2 linked regions of the Rattus norvegicus genome follow. Each later gene encodes a partner of the first gene's protein in a complex. Links are inferred from orthologs where the notes say so. Each region holds a gene or a part of one and is shown on either strand. Other genes may lie near its edges.

Region 1 (3,651 bases):
CTTGCTGCTCTTGAGAAAGATCTGTGTCCTTTATCTGCAAACAAAGGTTAATTGTACCCAGCTCTCAAAGTCTCCAGATGTTAAATTAGGTAAAGTTGGAAGGGTGCCCAGTACAGTAGGACTAATTGTGTCCATGAAGAGGGAAGGTCCCTGCTGAGCTGTTCACCTGTCTTCAGGTGTGGGCACTTGAAGGTGCTTTGGTTCTGGGGCAGTGACTAGCCAGCGCTCACTGTTGGTTGGGAATGAAATGAAGGTGCATTACACGGTGACTCGACTCAACGCCTTCATTGCTTTCAAAGGTCCCATTCAAATGTCAGCTCTGCATAGCCTCTCCTGGGAGATCCTAGCTCCCTAGGACCAGGGACATTGTAACCTTTTGGTTTTGTCAGTGACAGCCATGGAGGCATTCCCTCAGCTGGTCACTGAGGAGACACCCTGAGCACCCCTAACCTTGTGCAGGCCACACCCAAGTGTGGCAGCAGCTTCATCTCAGTGGCGACCTGGCCCAGGCACTGGACTTCCCAAAGGCACAGCCATGTTCACTGCAGTGGGCAGGTGGGCAGCTAGCTGTGAGCATGTGCAGTGTCCACGCCCTCAAGGCCTTCCTAGGGAGCAAGGTCCTATCCAAAGGTACATGCGGAATCTGTTTCACATGAGTGCCTAGGCCAGTTAGCACCAGTACAAAACCCAAGGAAAACAGGCAGGTCCCATAACCACATTCCTTACAAATGGAAAAGGGAGGCTCCAAGTGTGCTGGCAGCATTCCAAAGATGGAGAAGTAGCAGATACCCACATGTGAGGAAGGCAGGAGTGCCCCAATGTGTTGGGAGTTGTACAGGGGGTGGGGCCGAGCCTAGCTCCAGACACCCCAGAACCCTGGAGAGGACAAGCCAGGGCCAGGCTTCATGCGGTGGCACAGAAGATGGTCCTCTGCAGACCCACACCCCTGCCCCAGAGAGCTCTGGGGCACCAGGCCCTGGTTCCTATCTCATGGAGCTGTCAGATGAGACATCTCGATCGGAGTCCTCAGTCTCGCTTGGCGGCGGCGGCGGGTCGCTAAGCGGGACCGCAGTGAAAGCAGGAGACTTTCTAGAAAGAAATACCAGTTGTCACCTTGGGGCAAAGCAGGAAAGCTCCTGAGACTTCCAAACTTGCTTTCTCTGGCCTTATCTTTTGAGGTACAGGGGGATGACAGGCAAGGACGGGGGAGGGAAGGAAAACTTGTTTTCAACTTGATGGGAGGAACAGTTTCGCTCTTTGGGACTCAGAGATCAGAAAAGTCTGAAGTCACAGCATGGAGATGTTCCCTGAGCCACACTAAGGCCCTAGCTTCTTATCCAGCAATAATTCGGTGTGCGGGGGGCTGTGGGGACTGTAGGAGGTGAGACTGGGGGAGTATGGGGGTTTAGGGGGCTGTTTCACTCTGTTGTCACTGCTGACCCCAAATTCCTGGGTGCAAGCAATCCTCTTGCCTTCAGTTGATTTTCTTTTTTTTTTTAATTTATTTTATTTATATGAGTACACTGTAACTGTTTTCAGACATACCAGAAGAGGGCATCAGATCCCATTACAGATGGTTGTGAGCCACCATGTGGTTGCTGGGAATTGAACTCAGGACCTCTGGAAGAGCAGTCAGTGCTCTTAACCGCTGAGCCATCTCTCCAGCCCCTCTTGCCTTCAAAGTGGCTGGGGTGGCCACAAACCCAGTTAGCGTGCTCACCATACAATGCAATTTGGGGGGTCGGGTTGGGTTGGGTTTTTTGTTCTCTTTGAGATGAGTCAGTTTGCATTCCTGCCTGGCCTTGAACTCCTCACAGAGGCGAGGCTGGTCTAGTACTTGTGGCAATTCACCTGCCCGTTGCTTCTGTGCATCTGAATGATAGGTATGCGCTCATAAGCCTGACTTAACTGCCATTCCTTGGATTTTTGTTTGTTGTTGTTGCTGTTTGGTTTGTGTGGGACAAGGTTTTACTGCTGTCCAGAACAGCCTAAAACTCATGACAATCCTTCTGCCTCCGCCTTCCAAGACTGAGACTGCAGACATGTACCGCTAGGCCTGGTTTAGAGATTTCTAAAAAAATCTTAGTGTGTGTGTGTGTGTCTGTGTGTGTGTGTGTGTGTGTCTGTGTGTGTGTGTGTGTGTGTCTGTGTGTGTCTGTGTGTGTCTGTGTGTGTGCTAGACAGGCTAGACAAGGACTCTACCACTGAGCTATATTCCAAAACCCCAGATTTACTCTTAAACAAGGTCAAACAGCTAAACTGTGATTTGGATTTGGATAATCCTGTCCCTCTATTTCTTTGCTCCTTGCCAGGTTTGGGCTCTCAGACCCTCAGAGTTGGGCACTAGTCGGTTTCATCTGACGGCCAAGGCAGGGAGAGGAAGCTTCATTCTAGGCCACACCTACAGGGACTCCCAAGGACAGCTGGACATAAAGATGTGACCTGGTCACTCCCACAGGCCACTGGGGCCTGTCCAGCCTTCTTCCCTGGGAGACAGCCACGCCACTCAGGGCGGCCCTTACCGGTCTCCGGACTGTGTGATAAGGCGGCGGCAGGTCTCCATCTGCACGTCCAGCCCCCGCTTCATGCTGCACATCTCCATGTACTCATGCAGGTGGCGGTTCATGTCGCTCTTGGCCGTGGCCAGCTCCAGCTGCGGTGAGGTGGGGTCAGGGAGGGCCAAGCAGCTCAGAAAACAAGCAAGCTTCCATCGCCTGCTTCCCCGGGATATGGAAGTGGGGGAGGGGCGGCAGCAACTGGCGCTCTAACTTCAGGCCCTCACTCTGGCGAGGCAAGGGCTCAGGACGGTGCCCCACACTCAAGCCTTTCTGGGAATCTACTCCTACTGCTACCCAAGAATCAGCCAGATGTCTGAGTTCTCTGTAAAAGCATGGTGGGTGGGGGAGCACAGCCTTCACTCCAGCACTCAGGCTGAGGCAGGAGAGTCATGACAGTAAATCTTAAACCTGGTCTCAAAAAGGGGGAAGGAGGGCACGCCAAAGGGCTCAGTGGATAAGGTACCTGCCACATCTGCCAATCTGCATTTGATGCCAGGGACCCACATAGAAGAAGGAGAAAACCAACTCCAAATTGTTCTCTGACCTCCACACCTGCACCATGGCATGTGCACACACACTTGTGCGCACACGCAAATGTACAGACACACACACACACACATACACGCGTGCGCACACACACACGCACACACAAATGTACAGACACACTCACTCACACATACACGCGCGCACACACACGCGCACACACACGCGCACACACACATGCATACACACATGCATACACACACACACACACACACACACACACACACACACACACACACACAGAGGCTCAGACTGTAGCTCGGCTGGCAGAGGGCTTGCCTAGCCTGCAACGGAACCATACTTTGATCCCTAGCATCCCGTAAGCTGGACCTAGTAACACACATCTGTAATCCCAGCACTAATCAGAAGTTGCAGGTAAGTCTGTTCTAAAGCAAGTTTGAGGCCAGTGTGAGCTACATAACTCTGTCTAAAAAAAAAGCCTGCCGCTGCAGCTGTGAAGGGTTTTGCCTCAGTGGGCCTTGGCTTCAATCCCCAGACCCACAAAAGGAAAAGGCGAGAGTAACAAGGAAAGGGTGTCAATGTACGCACA
Region 2 (3,651 bases), on another chromosome or scaffold:
ACACACACACACACACACACATACAAACACAAATGAAACCAATAAAAACACAAAATCTGAAACCATAATGTACTAGCAAAAGAACAGTAAGATAAAAAATGCCTGAAAAATGGTACAACTACACATCTGTTATCCCTGTCCCCTTTTACTCTGTAGCAAGCTCTTTTCTGAAGAACAAAAGAAGATTAGGCCTCATCCTGTTCCATCTATTGACCCAGCTCCATGAGATGTCTGATACGAAAGCCCTGCAGTTCTGAGCTGGTGATACTAACATAAGATGCATCTGCCTTCTTGTTCATGAGTGCCATGTAACAGCCAAGGTACATTCCTAGTGAACGGATATATGCTTGCTTGTGTGCCTTGCTGTTATAACTGCTACAGTCTACTGTACATTTTAATGTAATGTTCTTAAAGTTTTAGGGTAAAATTTTTGATCAATTTTATGGAAACCTTTTCTCATATATTTTTTCAATTTGGTGTCTTATGACATAGGAACCCTTAGGGGGTCCGGCCCTCTTACCTGCGCCCAGCACAGGGGCTCCGCTTTCTTCATCAGTGCTGCCATCATAAAGCCCATCCTCCTCAGGTATTTTGTCAGAACTCGGAGTTTCCCTGGAAAGAGAGAAAGGCGGAACTGGAAATTATCGATTGATTCTGGCTAACGATCTACTTAACCAATAAGAAAATACAGAAAAACATTCCTAGAAAAAAAGTTCTGCTCAGACAAAGTAAATTATGCAATTTAGATGAAATCAATGAAAGACTAAGTCTCTTAAAAGAGAAGTGTTATCTTAGTAAACGGAATGGTGGTTAAAGGTCCCTATTAATTACTGAATTAGTTTATCATGTTTTATTCATTTATTTAAACACTAGTCCACCTAGTTACCTAAGGGGCAGTGCTCAGCATTGTAATGACTTGACAGCAGTTCTGCACTTGATTAAATTGCCCCCCAAACGAGGAACAGAGGCACAATGTTTAGTACCACGTGCAAGTAGGACTCTGTACCAGACATAGGAAAAGCTAGAATTCAATGTTATTTTCTTCATACTATGTCATGAAAAACCTATGCTTTTCAGATCCAAGGCAACAGGACCTAGTCTGTATGAGTTAATGACGAAAAACATGTGAAATTACCCAAACCTATACTAACCAATTGTAACCTATAATTCCCCCCACCTTAGGAATCAATTGTACACACACTTTAAGGAAGGAGAGAACATCAATAACAACTTGACAACAATAGGAAAAAATAACATACTTCCACCAGACAATGTAAATGTACCACAGGATTTAACTTTTACTAGCTGGATCAAAAGCCAACATTGCTTAGATGCTAAGATTATAGATGTACAAACAACTTGCAGCCTTGGAAGAGGTGAAAAGTTTTGTTAACTGATATATTTCTTACTTCATAATGTCTAAAATTAAATAAATAAATTAAATAGTTAAATCTTTCAGAATTAAACAAATATGTTTTATATGCTATGACATATGCTATACTTCAAATTAAACCATGGAATGACATGGAGAAATTGTGTGGAGAATATACTCATCCGAGCTAGAATGTCTAAACCCACTACCAAAAAAATGCACATTACTAAAAGTAGACACCTAATGCTGCAAGTCTGTAAAGACATTCTCCTGAGATTTACACCTCTCTTAGCCAAGGGCAAGCGGTTGCTACCTTTCAGGTTTGGTACTCTTCTCCAGCTGCTGGACTTCACTCAACAAGCTTCGGATTTTTGTTTTCTTCTCATTCAGCACCAAGATAAATCTTTGATACAAATCGGCCTCCAAGGCTTCTTTGTCACTCACACATTTCTCAAATCTAAAAATGCAAAGGAGTAAACAAATTGCAAGTCATACAAATTTTCTATCATTAATATTATTCAATCCAACATCATGATTTCAAGAAGCCTTTTGAAGGCAAATGTAATTAAGGTCATTTTATTTAAATAGAGTGTGAAAAAGTTAGAAAATGCTATTTATTAATATTTGTCACTTATGTTCTAAAACAAATAATAATTGAAATAGATAGAAATAAAGCTCTCTAACCTAAATTCTCAAATATAACAATTCATGTGTAGTTTATTTATAAAAGCTCAGTCATTTACATTGTATATTATATTACATGATGTGCATTTATTAATATTACTATTACAGCAGCCATGAGCATATATGAAAGAAAATTTGTTGTCAGTCTTCAGACTATGACTTGTTCCACAAGAACATAACTAATTTGTGTCTTTATAACCCACCATATTTAAGCACAAATCTGAACATAAATAAAAAATGTATGTAATGAATTGAATTATACCACCTGATATTTCTAAGAAGATAATAAAGAAATGATGAAAAAAGTATATATCTTTAGCCATAGAGATATAAAAGAAGAATAAAATTCTCTAGTATTAATAATTCATCCTGGAATGTTATAATGCTCAAGCGAATTTCACTTGCTTTAATGTCCCAACAGACAGGAAGGATGTAAACTAACAGAAGCTATATACACCTACTGTGTACGTCATGAGTAAATGATTATTATACACATTTAAACACAAATATTTCATTGAAAGTATTCCTATAGTCAAGTTCTGCCCAACTTTACCTTTACTGCGCTGCTTATTCTATATGTTCCTAAATATACTTTATATGTGTCCCATGTATGTCCTAATAATAAAATATGTACATATATACACATGTAAACTAAGGCGAGATAATTAAAAGTGAAAATGTCAAAAAGTGAGACGGTTCCTATCAGCCCTTGATGTGTCTCACAACCCATCTACATAAAAGCACACAGACGTTATTCTAGGGTAAAAAGGACTATGTACCAATGCAGTTCTGGAACCAATTAGTGCACATTCGTTTAGCATGGATTTTACTAAGGCTGGCATTGCATGAGACCACAGAACACGTGTGTTCTACCAAGTGCTTTGTGCTCAGTGCCTAGCAGAGATGCTCAGTACACATTCATGACATAAACAAATAAAGTGAGCTCATGAGTACAGTCTTTTTCATTTGCTGATTTATTACACATCAAAAGTACCCTTCTTTTTCAACACCGTATCTCAGTTTCTCTGAGCCTGTCTTCCAAGACGCCAACCAGTTGGCACTAGGTTAATTGAGAGCTACATGACATGTACTTTGAAGTCCTGCTCCTTGGAGATTCCTTTTTCTAGTAGCCATTCCAAGTGTGTGAGACTGGTCCTACAAGCTGAGAGACGAATCTGAGTTCTTCAGCAGCACGGTGTCCGTGCTAGGGGCTGAGAATTTCCTAAAGAGCATGGGATGGAATACATACTCCTTCAGCCACTTCACTCTGGCAAAAGAGCTTGGTGGACTTGTTTTATCTCATTGGTTACAAGACACACCAGGGTCTGTGGGACCTCTTAGGAATGTCTGCTTCCTTTCAGTTCAGGCTTCCTATTTCAAGATACTGCCAATATTTGTGATATATGTTATGTGCAGGGTATGTTACTCTATAATTTCAGATGCAAACTGTCAGGTGAACATTCTCTTATTTTCAAACATAAGAAATTTAAATATGAGGAAAATATATAAACAACTAAATTATCTCAGTATATAATAAAATGTTTTAAATACATACAGATATTCTTATACAAATAAATTTCATGCATATCACAATT

What was found.
Region 2: the proteins of Iffo1 (region 1) and Xrcc4 are in contact, whole or in part, in a crystal structure (PDB 6ABO), measured with the Homo sapiens proteins. The link is inferred for Rattus norvegicus from reciprocal best matches to the Homo sapiens genes IFFO1 and XRCC4. Residues at the interface, in NP_001317253.1 of Homo sapiens: Arg469, Glu470, Tyr473, Ile477, Gln479, Ile480, Glu481, Glu483, Leu484, Ala487, Lys488, Asp490, Met491, Arg493, His494, Leu495, Tyr498, Met501, Lys505, Leu508, Asp509, Met512, Cys515, Arg516, Leu518, Ile519, Thr520, Gln521; in NP_001304941.1 of Homo sapiens: Trp155, Val158, Gln159, Phe162, Glu163, Cys165, Val166, Lys169, Glu170, Glu173, Leu176, Tyr177, Phe180, Val183, Leu184, Lys187, Lys188, Lys190, Ile191, Leu194, His195, Lys197, Leu198, Ala201, Ala202, Arg205, Glu212.

The regions. Positions count from the first base shown.
Region 1 is NC_086022.1:159,644,699-159,648,349, reverse strand, and holds part of Iffo1 (non-homologous end joining factor IFFO1), read right to left. Parts: intron 2,654-3,651; coding exon 2,523-2,653; intron 1,090-2,522; coding exon 1,037-1,089; coding exon of another isoform or gene 984-1,036; exon of another isoform or gene 543-983; coding exon 490-542; 3' UTR 1-489. UniProt on the Homo sapiens protein: Nuclear matrix protein involved in the immobilization of broken DNA ends and the suppression of chromosome translocation during DNA double-strand breaks (DSBs).
Region 2 is NC_086020.1:22,814,251-22,817,901, forward strand, and holds part of Xrcc4 (DNA repair protein XRCC4), read right to left. Parts: intron 1,830-3,651; coding exon 1,686-1,829; intron 613-1,685; coding exon 521-612; intron 1-520.